5 linked regions of the Coturnix japonica genome follow. The protein of the gene in region 4 purifies or fractionates together with the protein of the main gene of each other region. This does not show direct contact. Links are inferred from orthologs where the notes say so. Each region holds a gene or a part of one and is shown on either strand. Other genes may lie near its edges.

Region 1 (5,307 bases), on a different chromosome or scaffold from region 4:
CCTATCCTGGCAGGAGATCCAGCCTCATGGTATTGACAGCCCCCTATTGACAGCTACGTCATCTTGCTGCCCACTTGTTAGCGCCTTATGGGGCTCTGCCTTATGCATCCATGGAGCAAAAGCTTCTTGGGGCAGGGCTGCAGCCTGACTTTCTTTCTGTAGGCTTAATAAATACCATATGGGCGTGTGCTTTTGCGGTTGTAGCCCACCAAGCTCCAGCCTTGGTAGCTTGCACTGTAACCTTTACTGTCTTTTCTGCACAGGAGTGGGATCCATGGCTTTGTTTTCATGTCTCTTCCATAGATAAGAAGCTTGCTGTGGCCATCGAAGGCAGTGTAGAGGAAGCCAAAGCCTTGTACAAGCCACCTGAGGACTCGCAGGGTGAGTAGGGTGGTGTTGCTGCAGCCATAGGGGTTGTGTTGTGGGACATATGAAGATGCAGCTGATCCCCCTCGTCCCTGCATCATTCCTGAGAGGTGCTCATGGCCCCTTGTCTGTTACTGTGACTCCTAGTACTGAGGGAATGTTCTTGAGCAGGGTGTAATGTCCCCGTTTGCCTGCATCCTGCTTTGTTCCTACTCTAGGAATTAGGATAACTTTTGGGAGAGCTGTGGTCTCAGAGGGAGGGCTTGGTGGCCCTGATGGTTTTGGGGAAACTCCCATACCATGGCACTTGCTTACACTTCTCTCTTTGCATAGATGATGAGAGTGATTCTGACGTGGAGGAGGAGCAGACCACGGTAAGGAATAGTATTCTCCCCTTCTGGGGCCTCTCTCAGTACATTGTAGTGTGGGCAAATCCATTTGCACCTGTGGGATGGAAGGTGCTGAGGCTTCTGAGCCTGAACAGGTCTGTGGACTCATTTTTGGACACCGAGAGTGTTTGGAAGTGTGTTGGCATTAAATCTGTCTGTGTCCAAAGAAGAAGAACTGGCCTCAGCTGGGGACTCTGTGTTCACTGGGAGGAAAGGGGCTGCATTTCCAATTTCTGTCCTGAACACAGGAGAGCTGGTGTACAAACCTGCCCTGCTCACATCCCATCCGCAGCAGTGTCCGCCCTGCAGCTCTCCTGCTGGAGCTGCTCCACTTTGTATAAATAGTCTCCAGCTGGGAAGGTTGGAGACCAGCAGAGAGAGACTGGGACTCAGAGTGGTGGGCAGGGAAGGGAAGGGCAGTGAAAGGAGGAGAGGCTGAGGGCTCCCAAGGAGTGCTGGTACAGGGCTGACAGCTCTGTTTTGCTCCCCCCAGAAGCGACGCAGGCCCACTCTGGGTGTGCAGCTGGATGACAAACGCAAGGAGATGCTGAAGCGGCACCCACTGTCTGTCACCATTGACCTGAAGTGCAAAGGTAAGCTGGTGCTGGTGGCCCTGTGAACAGAAGGGTGTGAGAGCAGGTCAAGGAGCATCGTGGCCACAGCTCAGTCCTTGGAGTGTGAAGGGTCCTGACAGATCTGCAGAGAGCAGCGTGTGGAGGATGTTTCCTTGTCCCCACTGCCCAGGTTACAGTGCACTGGTTACGTTGCCTCTCTTCCCTGTTCCTTGCTGTTCTATCAGGGGCAGCTGAAGAACGTGTGTCCCCTCCTACAAGAAACTGAGTACCAAGTGCTCCAAACCAGAGCATAGAGCACTATTTCTCTTTCCTTGCTGGCACAGATGAGAATGTTCTTCACCTGACCTTCTACTACTTGATGAACCTCAACATAATGACGGTGAAGACCAGGGTGACCACTGCTGCTGAGCTGACAACTGCCATCAGTGCTGGGTGAGGAAAGCCCTGAGCTGTGTGTGGGTCCTGTGCTGAGCCCAGGGCTGGTCGCAGTCACCCTGCCTTGATGTCCTGCCCAGCTCTGCTCAGTGTCTCATAAGCACAGTAATGTGGCACTAGAGGTGGTGTGTGGTGGCAATGTCCCTCTGCTGAGCTGTAGGCTAACAGCCCTCCATGCCCTGCAAGTCCCTCCCCAGCTCTGTGAGTGTGGTGGGTGAGGTTTTATCCTCAGTCTCTCTCCTCCTTACCTGGGGCATTGTAGATATTTTTGTGCAGAGTTGTAGTGTCCAGGCACTGTCCTGGTCCTCCTTTAATGGTAAGGAGGCCCTAAAGAGCCCCTGCACTTCTGTGTGAGGAGTGCTTTCACCTTGCAGATCTTCCCTGCCCTGATGGTGTCCTCTCTGTCAGCAGCGTGGCCTTTCTGGGAGCCCTGCCAAGCTGCTGCAGTTGCAAGCATCCTCCTCCTCTTCATCTGCTACATCCCTCATGGCAAAACCAGGGACAGGGCAGGCTGGGAACCTGTTAGGGAGGGCTGGAGGGGAACCTCTCCTCCTTGTTGCTTTTGCTTTTGGTTGCCATCTTGCAGCCAAACTGCTTTCCTCCCTCCTGCAGCCATTACCTGGCAGCTCCTTTCACCTGCTTGATCCACAGGTCACCTTGCACCGATGCAAGTGATGCAGCTGCCTCTCTGTGGGCTCCCCGGGGATGGCTTGAACCTGATCTATGTGAGAACTGGCTGCAATGGCAGCTTTGGGAGCCTGCCCATGGGGAGGCTGGCCTGGAATTACCTGTAAGCAGGTGCTGCCTCCCAGGCTGTTCCCATGAGGCTTCCCAGTCCTCCTGGGTTCTTTTTCCCTGTGGGAACCCAAACCCATTTATGACAGGCAGATATGTGTCCTTCCTGCTGAGATGAATCATGTAGAGGAGTCCCCTTAGCCCCAATTCATTCCTGGGTGAGACCCTTGCAGGCAGGGTCCTTGCTTAGGGGACACTGTGGTAGCAGGGATGTCGCTCACCGAGTCTCCTGTGACCCAGTCTAGATCCTCTACAGCCCTTTGTGCTTTCTAGGGCTTCTGGGTATGGTCAGATGTGAAGAAATGTATTCTTTTTTAGCAGGGGAATTTTACTTTAGCTTGTTGACTGGCAAACAACAAGCTGGTAGTTTTAGAGTTCATGCAGCGTGCCTTTAAGCAGTTCCTGGGAACTCAGAGAGATGGTATGCTATGATTTTCAGTTTCTTTACAACCAGGGAAGAGACCTATTTTCAAGAGCAGAGCTATGGGAAATCCACTGTGGTCATGAAACCCAGCTTGGGGGTCATCCATCCCCAGTCTCTGGGCTTGTAGCCTGTTAGCAAGTGCCCCAAAAAGATGTGAGGCCTGAACTGCTGCATGATTCCTTTCTCCTGCCAGCGACTTGCTCTCTCCAGACTCCCTCCTGAGCTGCCTGTACCCAGGAGACCATGGGAAGAAAACCCCCAACCCAGCCAACCAATTCCAGTTCGACAAAGTGGGGTGAGTGGACCACGTGCAGCCAGTGTCTTTCTAGTTGGCATTGGCTCAGGGTGGATGCAGATGATGCCTGCTCATTCACGGAGGAGAAAGTGCTCTGGTTTGTGACCTTTCCTCTTGGTTCCTGCAGCATCCTGACCTTGAGTGACTATGTGACAGAGCTGGGACATCCCTATGTGTGGGTGCAGAAGCTGGGCGGCCTGCATTTTCCCAAGGATCAGCCTCAGGCACGTCTCACTCCTTCCCTTCCCTCCCCTCCCCACCAGGATGCTGGGCTGTGCTGGCAGGGCTCTGAGGGGGCTTTGGGGACACTTGTGTCCCATCCTGTACCCCTAAGACTCCAGAACTCCAGCTGGCACCCCCCGCTCCAAACCATGGAGCACCCTTGGCTCCCTGGCAGGGTGCTGACGTTCCCTCCTGCCCACAGCATACAGTCACTGCAGACAACTCTCTGAGTGCAAGCCACATGGAGATGACCATGAAGCTGCTGCGGACGAGGCTGCAGTCCCGCCTGGCTCTCAACAAGCAGTTTGCTTCACTTGGTGAGTGCCAGGGTGTGCAGTGGCTGGATCTTCTTGCACAGGAATACTGCCTGACCTGTGTCATATTGAAGGGCCATTGTGGGTCTGCACTGCCACTGTCCCTCTACTCTGTGGCGTCAGGGCTCTGAGGTTTCCGTGTTTGGGGTAAGAGGGTGGCTGTGCCCCTCTCAATGTCCAGCACCCCTTTGGGACCAGCCATCTTGGCTCTGGGAGTTTATTCAGGCTGTGGTGATAGGAAAATGCCATGCCCAAGCATGAGAAGCACCTCTGGAGCAGACCAGGCATGTGCTGTGAGGTTGTGAGTGCCAGCAGAATTGCATTTGAAGCTGCTGCTGCTTTCTGGGTGCCTGGTTAAGATGTCAGAAGGATAAAAGAATGTCCCCAGGTCCCAGTGCTGTTGTCACCTGTGGGGCAGGCAGAGAGCTCACCCCCAGCCTGCCCTGCTCAGCCTTGTGCTTGGTTCCAGAGCATGGCGTGGTGCCCGTGTCCAGTGAGTGCCAGCATCTCTTCCCTACCAAGGTTGTCTCACGCCTGGTGAAGTGGGCTGCCATCCCCTTCGAAGATTACACGGTAGGTGCTGGGTGTGAGGCTGTATCCCCTCCAGCTCCTGTGCTGTGCCTCACAGCCGGCAGCTGCTCACTCCCTGTCATCTCCCCTTGCAGGAACTGCCCTACACTAAAGACGTGGTGGAGGCTGGGCTGGCCGAAGACACTCATCTCTATTACATGGCACTGATAGAGAGGGGAACAGGTCAGTGTGTTTCCTTCCCCCGGCAATGGCAAATAGTTGGCAGCTGCCTGAATCCTCCACACCAGGGAGGCTCTATGGGCTGTGGTTGATGTTTCTTCCTTGCCTTGCTCAGCCAAGCTCCAGGCAGCTGTGGTCCTGAATCCTGGTTACTCTGCACTGCCGCCCATCTTCAGCCTCTGCCTGAACTGGAAAGGAGAGCGAACAGGCAGCAACGATGACAACATTCGGGTAAGCACTTGGGGGGTGTTCCCAGTGCTGCTGTACCTTTGGGAAGGGTTAGAATGGTGGCTGGGGTGAACAGAAAACCAAGCTTGTAACACATTGATCTCTTTGTATCTGCCAGGCAATGGAGAGTGAAGTCAATGTGTGCTACAAGGAGCTGTGGGGGCCCAAACCGGGCTACCAGCTCCTCACCAACCAGCTGCAGCGCCTCTGCATGGTGCTTGATGTCTACCTGGAGACAGAGCCCCACGACACCACTGTGGAGGGGCCCAAGGAGTTCCCCCAGGAGAAAATGTGCCTGCGCCTGGTCAGGTGAGAGCCTGGGGCTGTGCTGTCCTCCCCCCCAGGGATTGGAGGGGGCTGAGGGTGCTGGTAGGGACCCGGCTGGCATTTCTGTCCATGCATGTGGTGACAGAAAAGCACCTTTGAGCCTTTCCTTGTGCTGCCTGTGAGGGTCAGCCCTGCACAGTCGAGCTGCACTCTGGGACCTGTCCTTGTCTGTGAGTGTGCTGAGCTT
Region 2 (5,949 bases), on a different chromosome or scaffold from region 4:
TGTATCTGCTCACATCCTGAGAGTCCCAAAGGGCAAAAATGAGCGTGGAGTAAAAATGAGGAAATAAATTAAATGAATTTAAAGTCTGTGAATAAATATTTTTGTGGTTTTTTTTTTTTGTTTTGTTTGTTGTTTTATTTGTTCTTTTTCCTTCCTTTCCCAAGCACAGCTCAGGACTTCGGCTCCAGCACCAATCCCAAAGTAGCCACCCCTGTGAAGCGCAGTGCTGTGAGCGGTGGCAGCAGTGCTGGGTATGTGGGGCTGTGCTGGGCCCTGCGTGGGTGCACGATGGGGTGGGGGCACCTTCACAGCATGGGGCTGGATCAGTCTGCAGCCTATTCAGCCCTGTCTCTTGCTCAAGGGCCCCAGGGCCTGTGTGTGCCTGCTTGGGTGCTGTGTGCTGCCCTGGCTGGGGTTGCACCCTGGGGCTGGGCCTTTGCCTGCTGCAGGCAAATATGGGGGCAGCAGGACAGGGATGTGAACAGCCATGGGCAACCAAAAGCACCATCCCTGTCCCACCAGGACAGTTGGACTGCAGGGCTGAGGCTGTGTCAGTGCTGATATGAGTTCCTGTAGATGTGCAAACCTGGAGGCTGAGTCTCAGCAGTGGCAGTGCTGGTGTTGCTGGGGGTCAGTGTGTGGCTTCCCCTGACCTCAGCCCAGAGCATCTCCCACCCCAGGGTAAAATCCTTCCTCAGCTTGGCTTACCCTGACCTGTACAACACCCCCCAGCTTCAGATTTGTCTCCTGTATCACTCAGAGAACTGAAGACATGGCAGGGAGGGGTAGGGGATTCATCCTCAGCCATGTGGAAGACTTTCCCACTGCAGCAGCTCTGCTCACAGGCACTGTGCTCAGAGCTGGGCTGCTCCACGCACTGGAAGATCAATTTCAATGGATTCCTTCTCCCTGCACTGTTTTTTTTTCACCTTAAGCTCAGCAGTGGGGCCCCAAGCTGTGCTCCATCCCCCAGTGCCTGTGGCACTACCCAAACTCCCACCCATTCCAGAGGGCACACAGCTCTGGGTGGGCACTGCTGCTCAGGGCACCCCTGTGTGCCCCAGATCCTGGTGGGCTCCCCCCAACCCCAAAGGCTTCCCTCCCCTTAAGGACAGACAACATCTTTCCATTCCACGTGCATTTATTGTCACTATAGTCACCGTGCCACCTCAGGCCCCCCCACACTCTGTGGAGCCCAAGGACACGGTTACAGCCACACTGCACTGCAGAGCACCGGGGACTCCCGATAGCAGCCGACAGCTCCGTAGCTTGGGGTCCACATCCATCACACACGGCACCTGTGGGGAAAGTATCACAGAGATTCCTGGGTGGGAACTTTGGAGCAGGGCTGCCCGCGGAGCCGGGCAGGTGGGTGTTCCTGGTATCAGGGCATTGCTGGGATCTGGGCGTTGCTGGGATCAGGGCATTGCTGGGATCAGGGCATTGCTGGGATCAGGGCATTGCTGGGATCTGGGCATTGCTGGGATCAGGGCATTGCTGGAATCAGGGCATTGCTGGAATCAGGGCATTCCTGGTACCAGCCCGTTCCTGGAGCGGAGCATCCCGGTACTCACCGCGGTGCGGAGCGGAGCAGCGGCACCTCTGCTGTCGGAGCGGCGGCTGTAGGGCAGGCGGCGGAGACCGGAGAGCAGCCCCGAGGCTCTGCCCACCGGGTAGGAGAGCGGAGCGGCCGCCTGCCGGTACCAGGGCGCGGCGGGGCGGCACAGCAGCATCACGGCTACAGCCAGAGTCAGGCAGCGGGCGGCTCGCATCGTGCCGGCGGGGGCGCAGCGCTGCGGAACGGCCGCTCCGGGTCTTTATGGCCGCGGCCGCCCCCGCCGCGCAGCACGAGGGAAAGCGCCGCTCCCCGCCCACGGAACCGGGACCGGAGCGGCGGGAGGAGGCGGGGAGGATCATTCCTTGAACTTCCACTCCTGGCGGCACATGGGGCAGTGCTGCTGGACCTGCTGCGAGTGCAGCCACTTGAGGATGCAGTGCATGTGGAAACAGTGCGAGCACTGCCCCCACACCAGCGGGCAGTCGTCCCCGGGCACTTTGCCTGCGGCGTGGACACAAAGTCAGGAAGGGCCGGGTCGCACCGGACCGGGTACCATACCGGGTACAGTACCGGGTACGGGACCGGGTACCGGACCGGGTACGGGACCGGGTACCATACCGAGTACCATACCGGGTACCGGACCGGGTACCATACCGGGTACCATACCGAGTACCATACCCGGTACCGGACCGGGTACCGTGCCGGGCCCCGCCGCACTCACAGTCGGGGCAGCAGCCGTTGAAGGCCATGCGGCAGATCCCGCAGTTCTCGTCGTTCGCCACCCACAGCCACGAGGCGACTCCGCTCCAGCTCCGCACCTTCACCCTCATCGCCGCCGGAAGTGCCGCTCTCCGGTCCGCGCCGCCCCGCCGGAAGTACCGCCCGCCGCCCCCACGAGGCCCCGCCAATCTGAACGCGCGCCTCCGCCCGCCGGTCCCGCCTCTTCCGCTTCCGGCGTCGGCGCAGCGCGGCCGGAAGCGCAGGCCCCGGAGCGGAGCCGCCATCATGGCCGACAAGATGGACATGTCCCTGGACGATATCATTAAGCTCAACCGAAGCCAACGCGGCGGCGGTCGGGGCGGCGGCCGGGGAGGCCGGGGCCGAGGCGGCGTCACCCGCGGGGGCGGGCCCGGTCGGGGCGGCGTGGGAGCCGGGCGAGCGGGCGGCGGCCCCGTGAGGAACAGGCCGGTGATGGCCCGGGGCGGCGGCAGGAATCGGCCCGCGCCGTACAGCCGGGTACGGGACGGGGGCGGGGGCGGAGCCCGGTCGGCGGGGCCCGGAGGGAGGGGGCCGGTGTGCGGGGCGGGGGGCGGCGGTTCGTGGACGGGGCGGGGGCGGTGGGACGGGCGGCCCTTTGTCCGTTGCCGGCGGTCGAGCCGTCCCGGCGGGACCCGGCGGCGCTCAGCGAAACGTCCGTGTCGTTCCAGCCGAAGCAGCTCCCCGAGAAGTGGCAGCACGATCTGTTCGACAGCGGCTTCGGGGCCGGCGCCGGGGTGGAGACCGGCGGGAAGCTGCTCGTCTCCAACTTGGACTTCGGCGTCTCAGATGCGGATATCCAGGTACGGGCTCGGCGCTGTTCCCGGGGGGTTTCATTCATTCCATCGGTGCTGGGTGCTGGGGGTGGCCATAGAGCATTGCTGGCCCTGCTCCCATTGGAAGGGCCCTTCACACGGTGCCTGGCCCTTTGCTTCACGCACTGCTGGGGCTCTGAGCTGAGCAGTTGGAGTGGCTGGATTCAGAAGAGTCCCAGTCTTTATGGAGCTGTAGGTAATCACATATGAAATATCTCTACCACGATGCTGTGGGGGGGATGTTGCCTTCGCTCAGTCCTGCTGTGATTGCAGAGCTTAGCACAGGCTGTGTGAGCTTTTAAGGTCTGTGTAATTCCAGACGTTCAGTAGCTCTATATATACATCTATTGGCGCTGTTTTCATAGTACCTGTTTATGTACTTTTTGTTAAAGTTTTGTTCAGTCTCAAGGTGTTCTTATAGAAGCACCAGTGATATTGAGAAGTCTGGTCTGTGAGGGGGTACCTGCTCGCTCATGTTGTCATTTCCACAATTACCACATGTATCTTATGACAGATAAATGTTCTAGCTGAGTTACCAGCTGCAGCTCAATCCCTTGTTCCAGCTGTGCCCTGGGTGCAGGCTGTTTGCAGTCACTGTGCCTGTGACACAGCAGTCACAGCTGTGGGGCTGCTCTTACTTGTGGGCAACAAGTTGTGCAGAAACATCTGCAGATCCAAGGAGCATCCAATCTGAAGGGTTTTCCTGACTTAGTCACATTGCAAAGAGCTTTGGATGGTTTCTGGTCCTTGCATCTCCTCTAGAAAAAAATAACTAAATCACTTCTATGTTTTCTTCTGTTAATTCATTCCGGTTCAACCTGTCTGCATCAGGAGTATTGGAAGTGAGCTTTTTTAGGTCACCTAGTTATTGAGCGATGCACTTAAAACCACTGTTTTTTCCTCAAGTGAGTTTAGTTTCAGTTGATATACATTTCCTGTTTGCTGTAATCAGGCCCAAACGTGTAAAAGTGAATCTGTAAAGTTATCTCAATGTAAGGAATTAATGTGTTTTGTGTGGCAGTTGAATGTTTCCTTTTCACAGTTGGCTTGAACTGCAGGAGCAGACAAACATCTGTGTATATTATATGTAGCAGCAAAGCTGACTTAATGGGTTTGTACCTCTTTGTTACTGCCCATCCCGTAATTTTCCACTAAGCTGCACTGATTGTTTTCTTTGTTTCTGTGCTGATTGTGTCATTAATATGGTTCTGCTCAGCTCAGTGCTGAGGAATGAGGGGCTTGGTGGGAGCCTCGTTCACGTTGCTCTTGTAGGAGTATGTGTGGTGCTGTGGCTCCAGCTTCTCTGCAGGACAGGGATGTGATGGAGCACCTCTCCTCCCATGTGGTGCTGTCTTCCAGAAAGCTTGTTGGGTGCTGTATGTTCATGTTTAGTAAATGGACACAGTAGAGAAACTCACTGACAGGCTTGCATAAAGTGCAGCTGGCTTAAGAAGTGAAAATATTTATATGCTCCTTTCAAATGCTTGGATAGGAATTATAGAGATGGCTGGAATAGTGTTTGGGCTCTGCTGCAGGTGATATGGAAGGCAGCCTGTGGTGTCTGCTTTGGACACCTGACAATTCTGTGTGCTTCAAACATTTGAAGAGTGGGGTGTAGGTATAAACTTGCAAAGTAGTGAGATGTCCCCAGATGTACATCTTAGATGTAGCCTCTGTGAAACAAAATGGGTGGCTCCACTGTTGCAGCCTTCCATCGCTCGTGATGGTAAACGATGCTCTTCAGTAGAAGATTTCCTGCTTTCAGTTTATACAGACTGGCAATGTCCCTGGGAAGAGGAGCAGGTCAGCATACCTTGGGGCCACTTTGTTGGCTGTATACAAGCACCCTTCAAGTGGTGGATATGAAATCCTGTTTGTTTCTGCCACCTGTGGCTGCTTTCTGGAAGTCTTTAGTGGCCTGTGTTCCTTCTTTCACTGGTGCTATTTGCGTGGTGTCATGGAATGTACATGATATTGCTGAAAGCAGGAGCTGCCTGCACCTTCTCTGGGCTGCTCGGTGTTTGCAGAGCTGACTGAAGCATATTCACTTCTCCCTCTGTTTCTCAGGAACTCTTTGCGGAATTTGGGACCTTGAAGAAGGCAGCAGTGCACTACGACAGATCCGGACGCAGTCTAGGAACAGCAGATGTGCATTTTGAAAGGAAAGCAGATGCTCTGAAAGCTATGAAGCAGTACAATGGAGTCCCCTTGGATGGTGAGTCTCTGTGGCTGTCGTGTGCTTCTCTGCACGGCTGATGGCATCTGTGTGCCTGCCACACTCACAGGGTAACTGGCTGCTTTTCCTGCAGGGCGCCCCATGAACATTCAGCTGGTTACATCACAGATAGATACACAGAGGAGACCAGCACAGAGGTGAGAAGCCGCGGGAGTCGCTGTGCCAGTCAGCACGGGGAGTGAACTGGCCTGTGTAGGAAGCATGGAATCCTCCTCGTGTCCTGCAACCTTCTGAGTGCCTGTTGGGGTTAACCAGAATGCACTATAACAGTTGCTTTTTAAAAATCACAGTGTAAACAGAGGTGGAATGACCAGAAACCGTGGTGGTACAGGAGGATTTGGTGGTGGAGGTACCAGGCGAGGTAGTCGTGGTGGGAGCAGAGGGAGAGGCAGAGGGGCTGGAAGAACTTCCAAACAGCAGCTCTCTGCAGAAGAACTAGATGCACAGCTGGATGCTTACAATGCCAGGGTAAGTGCTGCTCACATGATGGTCACGGGTACCTACAGCGTCCTTTTGATAAACACTGGCAGCTGGCTGGAAAGAGAAATTGTTTTTCAGGTCATTTGACTTAAATAGCCTCCCTC
Region 3 (5,778 bases), on a different chromosome or scaffold from region 4:
ACTTATTCCAAATTACCTGGCATGGAGGAATATGCTTTGCCTTGCGCAAGACATTTTTTCCTACCACATGGATCTGCAATACTGATTTCTTAAGGAAGGTTCAATGCTATGCAGTATTTCTGCCTGTTAATTGAAGGATTTATATAAAAGACTGTAGCTGATGGAATCTGCACAGAATGCAAGAGCTGGTGAAGGATAAATAAGAGCGAGTCAAGCCCGTTCCAGAGACCTACATCAAACACTGAATTAATGCAGAAAACATCCTTGGCTACAGCCTAGCGCAACATGCACCCCATACATGTATTACAAAGGTTGTTTTATACTTACAAGATGAGGAACTCTGCTTGGAAGTGGAGCGAACTGAAAGAAGACTCCAAAGACATAATGAAAACTCAATGAGTATAGAAATCCAGCAAGCTGGAACTGGCTTCTTAGGCAAAACACCTCGTGGCAAGACAGAAGAGCAAAGACAGCAGGATTTAACATCAATATGTAGCCTTAGTGAGATTCTTCATGATGTGTTTAGCAAGTTCCAGTTCCCATTTTGAAACAGGAAAGTTGATGAACACTGATGATACCTGAAAGCTCTGTCTTAGAATGAAAAAATAACAGCTAAATTCTTACCATAAGACCCAGGACAGAGCATTTATGAGAATGCTGTAATCAGTGACACCAATGAAGACAAGAAAGGCGTAAAAGTCATTAAAAATTATTAACTAATTATACGGACTGTTGTGTTCTAAATTAATTACTCCAGGAATTTGTCACTGTGGAGAGCTGAATAAGGCTATCTGACCAACACTGGAATGATAAACAATAAGTGGGAAAATATTAGATTAAATGGCAGAAAATGACACAGACGTATTCTTGCATTATTAAACAAATAACTGACAGTTCGCACCCTCAACACCCAACAGTTCTGATCAACTTCTCATCACAGTAGAAAAGGAAAGAGCTAAGAGAATGGCATGAATAGTATTAAGTGTTGATAAGACCAGGATGCTCCAAGATGCTGAAGATAGGAGATCTAAGTAGGGTAGGAAAGCGCCACTTTTCACATCAAATTATATCACTCACAAATCACGCAGAGATACATAAAAATATCAAGAAAGCAGCATATTTACCCAGTTTTTCTACACTGGAAATACCTTCAATCCAGATGGAGCTTTAATGACCACTCTCTGTAGCCCTTCCCAATAGTGCCTCGCAAAGAACCTACCAGGTGCCACTTCACAAGTCAAAGTGCTGGCTTGCAACAATCTAGTAATATGTAAACCCCTGTTATACATCTCTATCCAGAACAAAAGAACCCGTCGTCACTCAGGGCTCTAAAACCAGGAAGATGGAGATGACACTACATGCTGACACGGTTCTTTCTTCCTTACACCCATTTTCTCTTAATACACAGCAACAAGCAGAATGAGTCTGCATGTACTTAGTGTCCAACCAAGAGGAGAAGGTAATGCCAAGATGTCAGGGCCTGGACATGCATCTCACATATCATTATTGTACCAATGTATCTTAAAGTAACATTATCAACTTTAGCATGGCACAGGTGTCAACATTTTGGTCCAAAAGGCGAAAACCCAACACTTGATCTCATCCAACAGCTTAATACCTCTTTTCTCCCGGCACACCCCAGCACCGGTTCACTTTTCCATATAGGAACAACCCGCTCTGGTTACCACCCACAGCACAGCACCCCAGGAAACACCTCAGGAACAACATTCCACATCCTTCCCTTGCCCCAATGCTCAGCCTCTTGTGTCAAGCCACACACCAGGGACTCATCCCAAGCGTGACCCGAGGCGCTCAGCCCATCTCCCCTCAGCCCACAGCGCCGGCCCCACGCCTCGATGCCAGGCGTCGAAGGGCGAGGGCCATGTGCCGAGGGCATGGCGGGGCGGCCCAGGAGGGGGGCGGCGGGGTCGTGGGCGCGGTGGTTGGGAGGTGGAGCCTGGCTGCGGGCGCGGGGACCTCCGCTTCCCTCCCCCGTCGGCCTCTCACCTGGCGGGGCCGCCCCTCGCCAGGGGGCCGGTTCCGCGCGGGGTGCGGGCCTCCCGGCCGGCCCTCCCCGCCGATGGGCCGCGCGTTCGCCGCCAGCCGGCTCAGGCCCCAGCCGCCGCCGCCGCCTCCCCCTCCATGGCCGCCGCTCTCTCCGGCTGCATTGTGGGAAGCTGACCTCACTCGCTGCTGCCGCCGCCCCGCCGGCTCCGCCGCTCGCCGCCATGGGGGCCGTGACCGACGGTGAGACCTCCTCCCTCCTGCCCTCCCTCTCGCTGTCCCCGCTCCGGGTTTCTCACCCCGGGGAAGCCACGCACCCCTGCGCGGCGGCCTCACCCCGCATGGAGCGCTTCCAGGCCGCTCCGCTGCGCTCAGTGCCGGGGCCTGGGGCTCCATCGGGCCTCTCGGGCCCAGCCTCCCTGCCGATCCCAGGCCCCGCGTATTGAACGCGTTTTATTTCACCCACATTCTGCTGGGTGAGCTCCTGCCGTGCCACACGCTTCCAGCACGGAGCGCTAAACACGAGTTGTTTTTTTTCCCACAGATGAAGTTATCCGCAAACGGCTTCTCATTGATGGAGACGGAGCTGGGGACGACAGGCGGATCAATCTGCTGGTGAAGAGTTTCATCAAGTGGTGTAACTCTGGATCTCAGGAGGAAGGGTATTTGTTGGCTGTTTTTAAGTCTTGAAACCTCATTGCTTTGCAGTTGAGCATAAAACTGAGCATCTGTTTAGACAAAGAAAGTAAACTGTGTTAAAATGCATCCATTTGGGCTGGATGTGGCTCTGGGCTCCGGTGGTTGGCAACCTTGCACACAGGAGGGGGTTGAAACTAGATGATCATTACAGTCCTATTCATAGCCATTCTATGATCTCTGCTATGTTCAGCCCTGTGTGGTTCTCTGGACAAAGCCCAGGAGCTGTGGCAAGAAACATGCACTGGAGATGGGTCAAAAATTACAGAGCAAACCATCCTGAAATCTAACAGCGAAGGCTCTGGAGGTTGGCACGTTGCTTCACGATTCAGCAGTCCCATTATTACAGCAGGATCACGACTTGAGTGTTCCATTTGGTGGCTCTGCATTTGTTCTGTTAGGTGGGGGCTGTGCTGCTTCTGCTGTACTGCCCTGAAAAGAAAGAAGAAAACAAACAGGCCAAAGAACTAAAGGTTAAGCAACATGTTGTTCTGCAGTAGGGTCTGTGCCGATGCTGGAGTGCAGGAGGGCACTCTGTGATGATGCTGTGCACAGAGAAGCACTGGAGTGTTAAAATATTAATCGTGGTGGGCACAGAGCTGGCTCTAGTTGGGAAGAGTATCATCCCTGGAGCAATCTGCCCATGCTGTAATGCTGCTTTATACCTTTATGATGATAAAATTAATCGGTGCAGCATTCATTTTTAACTGTACTTTTTGCAGTTGTGCACTGAATCTTTGAAGTCCTTTATTGCTTTAGTAATTGCTGTTTTAACTGTTCCGTACATTACCTGAGGCTTCATTTTCCTCGTGATATAAAAACAGGCAGGTATTTTCATGCTGCTGAGGAATAAATGTCTTGTTTGCTTTCAGTTACAGTCAGTACCAACGAATGCTGAGTACTTTATCGCAGTGTGAATTTTCAATGGGAAAAACTCTTCTGGTGTATGACATGAACCTGAGAGAGATGGAAAATTATGAAAAGATCTACAAGGATATAGGTAAAAAATGAGAAAAAAAATATTCTATGCTTATTTGAATTTCTCTTTCATAAAGAAACTCAAGTCAGTTCTGATAAACAAAATGTAAACATGAGATGGGTGACAGAAAAACTATTTTAATACCACTCATACTTGCCCTCGTGTTTTGTCAGTGTGTAAAATGTGTATAAGTAAAATATGTTTTTAGTCTGTCAAGGCATAGATGGTTTTGAAGCCCGTGGAGATAGCAGGCAGTATAAAATACAAAGTGCTGTTTGTGATGATTTAGCTGAATGGATTGATGGCGTTTGTTGTTTGATTTGTGTCTTTCTGTTAAAGAAAATAGTATAGCTGCAGCACACGAGAAGATTTCTGAATGCAAGAAACAAATCCTGCAAGCAAAAAGAATTAGAAAGAATCGCCAGGGTAAGCAGCATTATCTACACTGGGTGGTTTTATTAATGTGTTATCTTTTAAAATACATTGTACTGGAAAACAGATGACATATTTCTTGAAAACTCAGAAGAAAATGCTCTCCATCGATGCTACATAGAGCATTATCTGGTAGGTTCCACACAGACTGCTGAAAGTTTGGTTGTTGAGGTTAAGGCAGTAAATCTTAGTGATGTAACATGAGGAGAACTTAGAGAGTAGCTCAGAGGTGTTCTCAAGCCAAAGAAACCCTCCCAAGCATCCTTTGACAATTCAGTTGGCTTAAGAACTAAAGCACATTAGTAGCAGCAAGACAAAAGAGTTAAATAAGCTTACAACCAACACTGAAAGTTATATAAGTATATTCCTTCAGCTCTTTAGAAGGAAAAGTAGTACCTAATACAAGAACAGTTGTACCAGTTGCATACTCATTTTACATGGCCTTGCAAAATACCTCTAAACCAGGTATTACAGACATCTGTTCCTTATCCTTAAAAGACATACTGATATTTTTAGTTGAAATTTAAAACATTGCCCTGTAAGTCTTATCAAAATTTAGCAATTGGGAAGGTAAAATTTTGCTTCCTAAAAAGTGAAATGTAAAAATAGTTGAAAAGAAAGAAAGAAAGACCAGCTGTAACAGGTGAAAGGTTTTAAAACCTTTAAAAACACATGCACATATGATTTGTGGATAATGTTAGACTCTATTATTAGAGACTGAAAAAAGCCTTAAGCAGTAGGAAAGTAGAGTACTTAAATCTTCACAAGCACGGATCTGAAGTGTTTGCTTTTGAAGATGTTCTGCCCACGTTTTCCATCTGAATGTGGTGGTTAGTGTACATAGAATAGTACCTTCAAGAACTGTCCACCTTAACTGTCTATATAACCATCATGTTGTTCTTTGTGTACAAAACAAAGTGGAAGAAAGCTGTTTCTCTTGCAGCATTTTATTTTTCTCTAAAAATCTGAAATGTCTGTGTAGTATCCTATCCACAGATTTTTCTATATATACATTATATATATATATTAGATTATATATAAAAGCAACACTAGTCATCTACTTGGATATGTTCTATTATATTATTATACATTTTTGCTTGACTGTTCCTTTGTTATATGCAAGATATTATGTAGAGATTGGAAAACATTAAAACACTTTTTTAAGAAGTAGAAAGAGCTGATGGGAGATTTTGTATTCTTATATCGCTACCTTCAGAACTTATACTAGTAATACTTAAATTTCTTTCAGAATACGATGCATTGGCCAAAGTCATACAGCACCATCCAGACAGACACGAAACACTGAAGTAAGTATAAGACTGCATTAGATTATGATAAACCAGCAAATTAAAAGTCAGCAGATTTGACATTTTCTTGGTTTCACTATTTGACCTTTTCCTCCCTGTTTCATAGTTTCTTTTGATGCAAGAAAAACTTGTGTTTCATTTTAGAATTGTGCCCTTATCAGCTTTCTTCCTTTGATCTCTATCTGTATGGGTTCAGAAGCATTACTAATAATTTTGTATTTGAAGTTTTTCCATTGTTAAGGTGAATGGATGAACTCAGATGTAAATGCACGACAGTTTATCAGTGACAAGTTGATCAGGAAAGAGAGATAGCGCGGCAGTGCTGTCAAGTGCAGCAGCAAGTAATCATGCAGAATGTGT
Region 4 (5,782 bases):
TAAGAATTATAAGGATGGAGAAATAGGTACCAAGTTTAGATTAGCTTCAAGTTCCAGAGTAACATCTTCAGAGTCTGGATAACTGCATAGACAATTCCATTCCAGCTCTGCTCAATTCTATAAGCTTTTTTTTTTCCCCCAAAGGAATGTGTATTTTCAACTGTGTGGCCTCCATGTGGCAGCACTTGCATAAACATGGAGCACAGCTGCCCTTAACTGTGCAAGTGCATGTGCTGGCTCACAGCACCTTTGCTTTCTTGTGAGGCATTGGGAAGCCCTGTGACTGTCTCATGGAGTGGCTTTGGTATTGTGTTTTGTATGAACCTTCACAGTATCCCAATGGAAAAATATTCTATCTTACAGGTGGGAGGCTGCAGTTATAAATATATAAGAAAACACCAGGTGTTTGACTTATCAGATGGTTTAACAAATGAGCATCCTTCCTTCGCTGATCCTGTTCTCTCTCCAGATGGACTGTAGGTAGGAGCCAGTCATGATCTATTTGGAACCTAGAATGCCAGTTTCCCTGGTGACGCATGGAGTTTGCAGGATGGCTGCAGAAATAGCACACTTCTGTGCTCGGGTTTTTCATAGATTTAAAAAGCTGGAGATTCTTGTTGAGAATTAAATCCCAGCAGCAGGAAAGTACAGCCACATTCAGGGTAGTGCTTCACAGTCTTCAAATAAACAAGCCAGAAGTCTCTTGCAATGATAAAAATAATCATTTTTAGACTCCTGCCAGGCCAAGAAAGAAAGAAGAGAAGCTGCCTTTTGACTGAGAGTTGTTGTTCTTTTTCTCCTTCCCTTTTGTAACCCATCTTCCCTTGTTTCCAGCTGAACATCAACAGGAGCTGGATGGTTTCAGCAGGTTTCTTTCACAACTGCTGGCAGTTGGGAATATTATTGCAAGAGTTCCCTCTGGTGGTCACTAATGGGGAAATGAATAATACTTCCTCTCTAAGAAGCTTTTTTTTTATGCTGGAAAGATTTATTGTTCAGTCACTCTATTATTTTTAACAGCCTTTCTTTAGTTCTCTAGATAATGACTGAGAACCTTCTCCAGATTCCTGTTTCATCATTAACACTCCACTCCTCACTAGTTTACTACCACTGATTCACCCTTTCAGCACAAAAGCTGCAATAAAGGTGGAGCTTTTCTGCTCCAACCTGCATTCCTTCGTTCACATTTTATAGGCAGAGGATGCAGTCCTGAGCGCTGAGTGGAAAAGAACAGAGATGGAGACTTAGAAGAATGAAATTAGATCAGCTTTAATTGTGAAGAATTCACAGTTCATAATGAAAAGCTGGGAAGTATCAAGAGATTCTGCTCACCTATTCAGCAGCCAAAGCCTTGCATGCATTCAGGCCTGGTTTTCCTCCTCTGATTTGACTGTTCCTACATCATATACAGATCTAGATCCTTTGTATCCTTTCTGTATCCTTTATTTCCCTTATAACAGCATTTCTGTCACAGAAATCTTCCCTCTACTGATGATTTCAGGGTGTTTCTGCCCTGTTTACTTCTCATATGTTCACATAATCCATTCCCATCTGGCATGGAAATATCACCTGCACTGATATATATCACTTGGTGGTTCCTGTCAGGTGTTGGCTGGGTGATGTCAGCAATGGCAAAATAACTGACATTAACAACCTGCTATTGGATTTTAGAATCATTAAGATGGGAAAAGACCCCTCAGATCTCCAAGTATGGAATGAAACGTCTGTGGAAGGCAGTTCACTTCTGCCACCATCATTATAGGACGGGAAAATGGCGGCCGGCGGAGGGCCGAGGGAGCCGCTCTGTCTCCCCGTCTCTATGGCCGCCCTGAGCGCGTTGGCGCCGCTTCTGCAGCGGCTCCTGGCGGCGCTCTATCCGCGCTGCCGTCTCTGTGGTGTCTCTGGGAGGTGACGCTCTGCACCGCGGCTGGGCCGTCTCGTTGGCCGGGCGGAGGGCGGGCTCGGGGAGTCATGGCGGCCGTGCGGGGCCTGCGGATTTCGGTGAAGACTGAAGCGACGGCGACAATGGCAGAACCCCGCGGCACTGAGCCTGAACCTATGGAGGTGGAAGAAGGCGAGCTGGAAACCATCCCCGTGAGGCGATCGCTCCGTGAGCTCATCCCGGTGAGGGACGGGCAGGGGGAGCGAAGGAGGGACCGGCACCTGAGGGGGGGCAGGGTACGTAGGGGCGGCCCTAAAGGCACCGGGGGGTTTATGTGAGGGAACGGGGGGTGGAGGGGTCGGGAGGAGGGAAATGGGGGTGGGAAGGGGGAGGGGAGATGAGGGAGGGGGTGGGCAGTGGGGGGAGGTACGGGCTGAGGAGCTGGAGTGTGAATGGGATGCTCAGGCAGTGCGGGCCCTGAGGGTTTTTTTCTTGTTCTCTCATTTTTTGTACTCACTGTTCTTAGATAAGTTCAGCTATGGTCAGGTTGAATGTATGAAAGTGGGTCAGAGTTGATCTCCGCTCCTAAGTAGGCTTTTGTTTGGAAAATGCGTGTGGAAAATGCTTGAGGAACTAATCTCTAATTAGCTGCTTGACCAACGTGCTTCAGCTTCAACCGACCTCCCCTATGAGGACAGGCTGAGGGAGTTGGGTTTGTTCAGCCTGGAGAAGAGAAGGTTGCGGGGTGACCTCACTGCAGCCTTTCAATACCTGAAGGGAACCTATAACCAGGAGGGGAGTAAACTCTTGGAAAGGGCTGACAATAGCAGGACACGGGGAAATGGTTTTAAGTTAAAAGAGGGAAGATTTAGGTTGGATGTCAGGGGGAAGTTCTTCACTAGGAGAGTGGTGAGGCCCTGGAACAGGCTGCCCAGGGAGGTTGTGGATGCCCCGTCCTTGGAGGTGTTCAAGGCCAGGTTGGACGGGGCCCTGGGCAACCTGATCTAGTAAAGGTGTATGTTTGGTGGCCCTGCCAGGCAGGGGGTTGGAACTACATGATCCTTGAGGTCCCTTCCAACCCGGGTCATTCTGTGAATATGTGGCCTAAGAGACAGCACCCAACCGTATGGACTTCCTTGTGCTCCATCAGACACCTCCAGACAGCAGTGGTTTGGTTGTTGTTTTGTTTTGTTTTTTTCCAGTTGAAAAACGTTTATTTTGCTGTTCTCCGTTTAATTCTATTCCTGTTTTAAATATCTTGTAACTTTAAGGGAAGTTTGTTACTAAGAAAAGCTGTTGGGCTCGGTGTGTGACTGTTTTCTAACCGAGCCTGACCTACTTTTTAGTAAAAAGGCCTTTAGCCAAAATAATTATTGGAGCACAAGGGTAAGCAGCATATTTATCCTTAGACATAGCAAGGCACGTTGCTCATGTCACAAACCTTCCCTAGGAGATGGTTCTGAGGGTTCCAGAATGAAGCAGTTGTGAAACATGCAGACAGGACACAGCTGGGTCACTACTCCAGGGTTCGTGTTGTTCACTACAGGCTTAGGTTTCAGTGGTCTCCATTGGTGGAAATGAGTTTTATGTTTGTTCGTCAGTGCTGTCAATCTTCCTCTGGGTCTGTAGTCATGTATCAAACCAGGGATAATTTGTATTGCTTCTGCCCTGTTGCTGAGACAAAGTAAAAATGTGAGCAATTGAACAATTAATAATACAGCAGTTATTGCAGAAGCACACGTTTCTCATAGCAGAGGAATCTGGGTTCATTTGATGTGCTTTAACTCTCACTGATGTCAGTGAGGTTAAGTGCTCATATACCTGACTCTGTATGGATGTGTAGCTTGAAGTAAGGATGGATTTCTCATAGGCCAGATTTGTTTTAGCCTAGTGATTACGTTGCAGTCAGCATTCATTGAGTTTTCATCACTGTTTTGCTTTGTTTCAGGACACTAGTAGGAGATACGAAAACAAAGCTGGAAGTTTCATTACTGGAATAGATGTAACATCCAAGGTAATTTCTGTCCTGTGGTTCTTTGAAGTGTTTTAATTATTGCGGCAGGAAAAGAGGAAACACTTCATTTCTTTCCTAAGAGTCACAGAAGCTTCCTATTATGAAAACACAATAACTAGACAATTCTCCTTCATGTTGGTTGCAAACAACATCTGGGTGGGTTCTTGTGATTTCTAAGTAGCAAAATTTGTGTCCAAAACCTGAAAATGTGTACAAAGTCTGTACATTTGTTAGGAAGGAAAAATAAATCTTACTGTTCCATCATAGAAACTGGTCATGGGTTCAGGATATTTTATTTTCTACGCATTTTGATCCTCATTACGTTGCCAGACTTGCATTAGAAGTACTAAATAGCACAGTAACATGTCAGTGAGTTCTTTTAGTGTTCTGAAAGATACAGATCTCTTCAGAAATAAGAGAAATATTAACATAGCTTGTTGCTGCTTGGTCAGTTGTATTTTAATATCCAGTCTTATGATGTCAGTTGCTGGGAAGGCTGTGCTGTTCCTGTTTTGACTGGATCGTTTCACATTGTGCAGGAAGCGATTGAGAAAAAGGAACAAAGAGCAAAGCGCTTCCATTTTCGAGCTGAAGTGAATCTTGCCCAAAGGAATGTAGCTCTGGATCGAGACATGATGAAGAAAGGTATGATTTTATCCAGCAATTAAGAAGGAAAGGTCTCTTTGTTTGCTTCCTCACAGTTCCTTTACTTAATTTATATTGTTTTATCTCCTAGTGGCACCTAATGTGTGTGTGTCCAAGATCTGTCTTTGGGACCGATGCTGCCTTAAGTGTATTTAACATCCTTGAAAAGGCCTTAGGCACTGTTTGTATGCGAGTGTAGGACTCTGTGTCCTGTGCACAGAAAGATCAGATTCCATGAGTGATGGCACATGTGCTGTAAGATGGCAAGCTGGATGTGCTGGAGTAGAAGCAGATAAGCTGAGAGATGTGCACACACAACAGATAGGCATTTTTGGCATCCAGTTAGTTCCCAAGGCCTTTGTCCAGCTGGCAGCTTGGACCAGCTGAGCTGAGGCCTGTAAAATCTCTCCATGAGATTTGCACAAAACTTGTACTATGTCCTGGTCATGGGCCTCATTAGTATTATGCTCTTTGGTACGTAGTGGAAGAACTTTAGTAGCATTTTAAAGAAAAAAAGAGAAAAAAACCTGTGTAAGGCAGTTTGATGTTTTTCAGTCCCTTCACCTTTCTCTCTCTTTTTAATTCTCAGTTAACATTTTACATTGTGGAATAACTCAAATTCTGGTGTTGTAGAATGGTGAACATCATTCTTTTACACCTTTAACTTATTTTGAATGTTTGCTTTAGAAATCCATATGTTATGAACGTAAAAACTTGCTTTGTAGAAATGAGTGTCAGTTTTCTCTCTCTTCCTCTTTTATAGCAATTCCTAAAGTGAGACTGGACACAATCTACATTTGTGGGGTGGATGAAATGAGTACTCAGGACATCTTTGCCTATTTCAAAGAGTATCCTCCTGCTCACATTGAGTGGTTAGATGATACTTCATGTAAGTCAATGGAATCTTGTTTGTCATTCTTTATATCAGTGTAGCTGTACCTTGGATGTCTTTGTGGCTTTGTCTATCTGTTTCCGTTTCATTAACCTTAGCCAAATGAGACTTATTAAGAATTAATAGTGTGTGTTGAAAATCAAACCCACTGTCTGAATGAGTATTTAGAAAGAAAATGATTTTAAAAGGACCTAAATAGCTTACCATTACACAAATCACTGATGTTGAAGGAGAGTAAAATAAATGCACTGGAAGATAAGAGAGTGGACAGTGATTAAAGTGTCAGGGCAGGAGAGTCACTTGTGGAGGACGTGAATTGAGTTCATTACAAGTTAAAGTGGTACTGTTC
Region 5 (6,107 bases), on a different chromosome or scaffold from region 4:
AGCACAGGCTGTTCCAATAGGAGAAAGAGAAATATAGGCATAATGAGGGGTGATATGGGGAACAAACCTATCCTTTTAATTGGTCACTCTGGTCATTCATTTGCCCCACATCCCATTGATGATGTCTGAGGATTCTTGTAAATGGGGGAAACTCAAGATGGCTGTCTAAATCTTAGAAAGGCAAACTTGCTTTTAGTCCTTGAATGCTTTATATTGCTGTGTATGCAAGCAATATGTGCAATGATTATTCATAACAAAGGCAAGTTTATTTAAGAATACACTGCCTTTGGATTCTAGTCAGAATCAAGATACCAGAAGAAAAAGGAGCAGCAGAACAGAGAAACAATGGAGAGTGTTTTCTGATCTGGAACTGAGAATAAAGAGTCAGGACTGACAGTGTCAGAAATACCTTCTTTGACTGTATAACAGTCTACAAGCTCCAAGTTTAGGAATTTAGGTTTTCTCTTACATTATTATCATTAGACACAGACACTTCCATTTTAACATTCCTGATATCTGGGGTACACAACGCAAATGAGTGCGTGGACCATGTTGATAAGAGTTTCACTCACCAAATGCAGGGTTGACCTTCAAGCCTTCATATTTTCTCAGTATGCTTATACTCTTAGCTTTCACAATTAACAAATGTGAGGCAACTACAGTGTTTACACTACCACTTGCTCACATGTGCCTGAGGTAAGGGCCCACAAACGTCAGTAGCAGCCACACTAATCAGCTCCTGCAAGCTGCATCTACTGGTAAGCAGAGGCAATTTTTGCAGATTTTGGCTTCCTGAGTTTCCAGCAGCATCCAGCCAACCAGTCATCTGGAGTCTTCTCTGAACACATCCCAGATAGGAGTGAAAGGAGCACAAACTGTAGCACTACTGCCTCAGAGTTCCTCAGACACCATCATGGCCACTGCCTCAGACCTCTCATGTGCAGGATCGAGGGCTGATGATGTACCAAAGATACCTGAGGGGTTTTGCCAGCAAAGTACCATAAAGTCAAATACAGTGTTCTATGGAGTGTATGCTACATAAGTGTAATGTTGTAGGGCCATCCTGCAGGACACCCAGCCATCAGGCAATCCAAGGAAAGATGAGCTGTGAGGTCAGGAGTACCTGTTCTCCAAACTGAATTCTTCCTTTCAGCAGCAGTGGACCCAACTTACGCTGCAAGCCTCTCAGCTGCCTTGTCAGTGATACTGTCACTGCTCCGCTTACAAAACTTGCAAAGCCCGTATTTCCTCCATATTTTCAAACTCTAAATACTAATATCTGAGATTCTAATAATGGACTTTGATAGAGCGCTTGCTAGGAATGTATCTACTAGTGTATGTACTAGTATGTGTATGTACTAGAAGACAAAGACAAATCTGTGGCTGGTGGATACTAAGTCTAGTTACAAAAAACAAAACCCTAAGTCTTAGAAGATCTATTTGGCAGTCACTTATGTGAGAACGCTTCTCTTTTCAATTGCCCAGCTAAACAGAAACAGGCTGTACAAGATAATGTTTATTAGGAATCTTGTCTAAATAAAGTTGTGCCTTGTCACACCAATCCATGAAGAAAGTTATTCTAGAGGAAATGAACTGTGCAGACATTTTCTTTCTTCTGTTTTTTTGCCCGTTTACCTGTAGTATTTGTTTAGAAAATCATGAACATATATATGTATATTTCTAAGATTAGATTAACACTTATTTTCTTGTAACTGTGTATTTACTGCATAATATACCATAGCTTTGAAAGCCTTATAGTTGCAATTAAGCTTAATAGCAACCTACTGCTATCCAGCTGTTACCATAGAGCCCAACTGAGGCATTTTCTTTAATGAATTTGGGAAAAAACATTCAGATTTCTTCTTTATTCAGTCAGGAGGGACAAGTAGGTGGCTCAAGACTGCGGCGTGACATACAGTGGCTTTATCGTTATTTTTCACTTATTTATTTCACATATTTATTCCAGAAATGTGGAACTGAGGACGGCAATGCTTTGAAAACACTATTACACCGAAGGAAAATGGCAGCTTGGAAACGCCCACGTCAACACAACGGGGCGTTACGAGGAACGGCGCATGCGCCACAGTGCCGTTAACGGGCCCGGCCTGTAACGTCATACCCAGGGGCGGGGCGTTGCTGCGCATGCGCCGTTGCTATGCGCCCCGCCTGCTAAGGCACAGAGCGGCCGTCCCGTCGTGCCTCGCGGGCCGCAGCGTCCCCTCTGACCTGCGCCCGTCGCTCGCGCATCCGGGCTTCTCGGCGCCACACAGGGAAGATGGCGACCATGCTCCCTGCCGAGTGGATAAAGAACTGGGAGAAAGGGGGCAGGAACGAGTTGTGAGTGCGGGGGTTCGGCTCGGGAGGGTGGCGAGGCGCCGTGGGGGCTCCGGCCTGCGGGAGGGAGCGGGGCTTTGGGCCGGGGGGCGAGGAGGTGGGAGCGGGTGGGAGGACGCAGCGCGGGGCCGCGTCTCGGCGATGGGAGACGAAGCGGAGCGAGGGCGGGGGCCGGGCCGGGCCTCCTACGTGCGGCTGGGCCTGCTGTGCTGGGCCTGCTCTGCCGCTGCCGCCGGGCTCAACCTGTAGCCGGGCCTAGCTCGGCTGGCCACGGGCCCTGAGCGCCCTCTCCTGCTCTGGGCCGGGCCGCGGATGTGGGGCGTCTTATAATATTCTTTTCTCACCGGCCCCGCGATGCCGATCTCGTTGGTGGAGGGTTTAACCGTGGATTCGATCTTTCTGCCCGTTCCCAGGTGCCTGGTGCTGTGCCCCTTTAGTTGTGGCTTGGTAGGGGCAGCCGTTGCTAGTTATCATAGGGAAGAATTTCTGAGCACCAAAGGGGCTGGATGTAGCTTCCCACATCAATCCAGATGTGCTGTGGGCTTGTTTTTCAAGGCCTTCTATCTGTGTCTATAGCAGTTTCTGGTCTGGCTGTTTGCTCACACGTCATTCACCAGGTTGTCAGTTTTCTGTCACTGCATCAGTGTCAACAAGGGCGACCAATTTACTGTGTTCTCTTAAATGATCTTATCTTGGCTTTTCTATTTGCTTCAGCTCTTTGTTATAACCGAAAAAGCTCTGTAGCTTCAAATATAGCTATTTAGGGGATTGCTTTATGGGAAACACTTGGTGGTATTTTTGCTCCTTTTGTTATTTTCTTTTGTTCATGTATTTTAAAAGATTCTGCAGTTAGAGTGATGATTGCCCCCATGTTTGAGGTAGAGAATGAACATGGAGACTCTGCATACAACTCTGTGTTCCCCAGACCTTCTGCTTTGTAACGAAGGGGCCCTCTGATAGCTGTGTCACTGCTGTGCTTGAATTGTTCTGGAGTTAACGTGTTTCAATACATGTGATACAAGGCCAAAGGAAGTCTGTTCAGTTCCTGAATTTTAAACAATAAAAACATAAGTGTTCAGGAGCCCCCACGTAGTGCTGAGGTTTGCACTGACTTCATAGCAATGACTGCACACCAACAGCTGGACAATCCTTAGGGCAGTTATATTAGTGACATTCCTGTACTGTGGCCCTTATGCCAAATGAAATGCACCGTTTCTGATGTGGTGTTAACAGTAGCTTGGGAGAAAAGCCATCACTTCTAAAGGAAGTGTGACTACAGCTGGATAAGAGTTGCCAGCTTTATGAATGTGAAATATGCATGGCATTATTTTCTAGGCACAAGTAAATGCATCTGTAGCCACTATTCTAGACAACTTTGTAAGCATATTTTCTGGGGGGGGGGGGCTATTTTTAAATGCTAAAGTAAAAGGTAAGTAGATGTAGTGATGCTTCTTGCTTTACTGACTTGGTAACTTAAAACAAAGCCCCAGAAATATAAATTAAATAGAAATATTTTTTTTACTGGAATATCATACAGGACCTGATTAGATCAGCCTGGGTCGGTGTTTTGGCAGCACACTGAAAAAAGTCAATTATTTGCCTTTAGTGTTTTGGCTTGCTTTGCAGTTACTAATGAATGCTAAAGGTGATTGCTGGTGTGTTTTCTTACATAGACCTGAATAGTGTCGTAGTGGTCTGTCTATGATGTAAAACGTACAGGATTTAAAATATGACTGTAGTATTTTGGATGTCCTGTTATTAAAAAAGAGAAAAAAATTACTTGTAAAGAAAACAAAAAGCAGAGTTGTTTCTAAGGAAATGCAGTAATAAAATCAGTTTTTGACTGACTATCTTCTATGTTTTCTTTATCTCCCATGGAAGATAGTGAATTTTATTTTATTGATGTGATCACTTTGTCCTCGTAGTTTGGCAGTAATGGCCCAAACCCTAAAGATGAGGGGTTTGTGTGTGGCCTGGAATGTCCCAGGGTAAGGTGAATGGGTATGAATAGGGAAGGTGGCATTCTGGAGCTTCCGTTATAGAGACTGTGCACCCCTTGGAAACTGTTGAGCTCCTCCAATTTAATGAACCCAGCTGCCAATGTGTAATAATATCTAATATGGATACATGAACGTAGATCGTGCGCTAGTTTTGAAGATTTTTAGTTAGTGTTTTCTTTTTGTTCAGGTCCTTTTCTGTCTAAATACACATCATTTAAATTGTATTTGTTTTGCTACTGCAAGATGCTGTGTGGAGGTTGAGTTGGCATGTGTGCCAATCGGTCTAGAATCCTATTTGTATATACACATACTGTCCTTTTGTATTGAACTAGTGTTGTTTTCTATAGTCCCTTCCACAGCAAGATGCTGCAGTATGGCTATGGCATGTAGGAACATTGATTAAGCGCTTGTCATTGCATGTGTATTATGGAATTGCTTTTGCTTGTTTTTTTTGTGTGTGTGACAGATAAAACAGACTGAAGATCCTTCAAGGGATAAGCAGGACTTCAGTGGTGTTCTTGGATGGCCATTTATACTATGTGTTAAACTACAGGATGAACTGAGGAAGCTCACTGTTCAGTGAATTGAGATTTTGAGACACGATCTTTCTGACCCTCCCACAGTGTTTGTTATTTTATGTGCACGAGGTGTGTCATAGTGCTGAGTAGCAATTAGAGGGCTGAGAGTCAGGAAAGCAGCCTTCAGCTGTAGTTTGGCCATCACGACTGCAAAATGCAGTTGTGTGTTTCAGCTCAACGGAAGAGCCACCTGAATTAGTTAAGTTATGCATATACCTCAATATTTGCAGTCACGTGTGCTTTATGGTAACTGCCATATGCTATGTGTGAGAGTGTAATTGTGTATGTAGGATGTTGTGTGTGAATTGGGAGGCTTGGGTTTGACTCCTGGCTCTGTTGTGCAAAGTAGTTGTGTTGAGCACTACAGAACTTTGGAGCTGTTATTTAAACAAACATAGCCCTGTCTTCATCCGAAACAACTTTTTTTAATATTTCAGCACTGGTTCTTTTTGTGGTTGCTCTGTAATGTTTACTTCCTGGCTTATTCTATACTCAATTTGCACATCAGATTTATCACATAATTTATACTCCTGTGGAATGTAGTAGAGTAGGGAAGTTCCTCATCCTAAACTCGCAGAAATGAGCTTAGTCATAAACCTTTTACGTTTGGACTATTGAACTGAAAGTTGCACCTGGTAAGTTTCCATTTTCTGGGCTTTAAGTGGGAAAATATTGTAGTTATTTTTCCTTGGTTGGTTGATCATGCAGGTATTGATGCCTGGTATTCTTGTGTAAGAATGTTTTGATTTTTATCTTCTGTACTCAGCTAAGACCAGATGAACTGATCTCATGGCTTTTTGGTACTGGTTGAGAGGGCTTCTGCCTTGTCTTCCTTATTGTTCCCTATACACTGGTGTCTGACTTCTTGATGAGCTGATCATTCTGTAGAATGAGAGGTTTCACCGTACTGGTATTTGTTTACTGAGCTTATAAACAATTCCATTAGAGATTTCTTTTTACCATGGCATCATTTTTTGCTCAGGTTGCATGTTTCTTATGACTGTATCCTGTTCATGTATAAAGCTAACAGTGTTCCAGTTGTGTTTAAAGGGTGCGTATGCCTTGCAGTTGCATAATATTATTGTTTGATTGTTGGTACAGTTGTTTAGTGCTGCTGGAGAGGTAATAATATGTGCAGGATACAAATAGGAAGAGCAATGGATTGCTACCAAATACTTATTTATCATTTATTTTT

What was found.
Region 1: the proteins of NCBP3 (region 4) and THOC5 purify together in Homo sapiens (co-immunoprecipitation; 3 studies listed by BioGRID and IntAct, with this or other methods). This does not show direct contact. The link is inferred for Coturnix japonica from reciprocal best matches to the Homo sapiens genes NCBP3 and THOC5.
Region 2: the proteins of NCBP3 (region 4) and ALYREF purify together in Homo sapiens (affinity purification with mass spectrometry; 4 studies listed by BioGRID and IntAct, with this or other methods). This does not show direct contact. The link is inferred for Coturnix japonica from reciprocal best matches to the Homo sapiens genes NCBP3 and ALYREF.
Region 3: the proteins of NCBP3 (region 4) and THOC7 purify together in Homo sapiens (co-immunoprecipitation; 3 studies listed by BioGRID and IntAct, with this or other methods). This does not show direct contact. The link is inferred for Coturnix japonica from reciprocal best matches to the Homo sapiens genes NCBP3 and THOC7.
Region 5: the proteins of NCBP3 (region 4) and THOC2 purify together in Homo sapiens (co-immunoprecipitation; 3 studies listed by BioGRID and IntAct, with this or other methods). This does not show direct contact. The link is inferred for Coturnix japonica from reciprocal best matches to the Homo sapiens genes NCBP3 and THOC2.

Annotation. Positions count from the first base shown.
Region 1 is NC_029530.1:9,925,423-9,930,729, forward strand, and holds part of THOC5 (THO complex subunit 5 homolog), read left to right. Parts: intron 1-303; coding exon 304-381; intron 382-699; coding exon 700-740; intron 741-1,248; coding exon 1,249-1,348; intron 1,349-1,653; coding exon 1,654-1,762; intron 1,763-3,177; coding exon 3,178-3,279; intron 3,280-3,406; coding exon 3,407-3,503; intron 3,504-3,703; coding exon 3,704-3,818; intron 3,819-4,284; coding exon 4,285-4,388; intron 4,389-4,480; coding exon 4,481-4,568; intron 4,569-4,680; coding exon 4,681-4,796; intron 4,797-4,911; coding exon 4,912-5,102; intron 5,103-5,307. UniProt on the Homo sapiens protein: Component of the THO subcomplex of the TREX complex which is thought to couple mRNA transcription, processing and nuclear export, and which specifically associates with spliced mRNA and not with unspliced pre-mRNA.
Region 2 is NC_029533.1:4,444,336-4,450,284, forward strand, and holds the start of ALYREF (THO complex subunit 4), read left to right. Parts: upstream 1-2,473; 5' UTR 2,474-2,563; coding exon 2,564-2,794; intron 2,795-2,985; coding exon 2,986-3,117; intron 3,118-5,196; coding exon 5,197-5,344; intron 5,345-5,438; coding exon 5,439-5,502; intron 5,503-5,655; coding exon 5,656-5,833; intron 5,834-5,949. Other genes in the region: NPB (neuropeptide B), read right to left, coding at 1,170-1,298, 1,575-1,772; ANAPC11 (anaphase-promoting complex subunit 11), read right to left, coding at 1,914-2,059, 2,280-2,388. UniProt on the Homo sapiens protein: Functions as an mRNA export adapter; component of the transcription/export (TREX) complex which is thought to couple mRNA transcription, processing and nuclear export, and specifically associates with spliced mRNA and not with unspliced pre-mRNA.
Region 3 is NC_029527.1:10,989,799-10,995,576, reverse strand, and holds the start of THOC7 (THO complex subunit 7 homolog), read left to right. Parts: upstream 1-2,137; 5' UTR 2,138-2,228; coding exon 2,229-2,247; intron 2,248-2,548; coding exon 2,549-2,666; intron 2,667-3,572; coding exon 3,573-3,700; intron 3,701-4,018; coding exon 4,019-4,105; intron 4,106-5,360; coding exon 5,361-5,418; intron 5,419-5,778. UniProt on the Homo sapiens protein: Component of the THO subcomplex of the TREX complex which is thought to couple mRNA transcription, processing and nuclear export, and which specifically associates with spliced mRNA and not with unspliced pre-mRNA.
Region 4 is NC_029534.1:3,967,865-3,973,646, reverse strand, and holds the start of NCBP3 (nuclear cap-binding protein subunit 3), read left to right. Parts: upstream 1-1,878; 5' UTR 1,879-1,971; coding exon 1,972-2,178; intron 2,179-3,830; coding exon 3,831-3,896; intron 3,897-4,435; coding exon 4,436-4,541; intron 4,542-5,304; coding exon 5,305-5,430; intron 5,431-5,782. UniProt on the Homo sapiens protein: Associates with NCBP1/CBP80 to form an alternative cap-binding complex (CBC) which plays a key role in mRNA export. NCBP3 serves as adapter protein linking the capped RNAs (m7GpppG-capped RNA) to NCBP1/CBP80.
Region 5 is NC_029519.1:14,648,862-14,654,968, forward strand, and holds the start of THOC2 (THO complex subunit 2), read left to right. Parts: upstream 1-2,167; 5' UTR 2,168-2,275; coding exon 2,276-2,337; intron 2,338-6,107. UniProt on the Homo sapiens protein: Component of the THO subcomplex of the TREX complex which is thought to couple mRNA transcription, processing and nuclear export, and which specifically associates with spliced mRNA and not with unspliced pre-mRNA.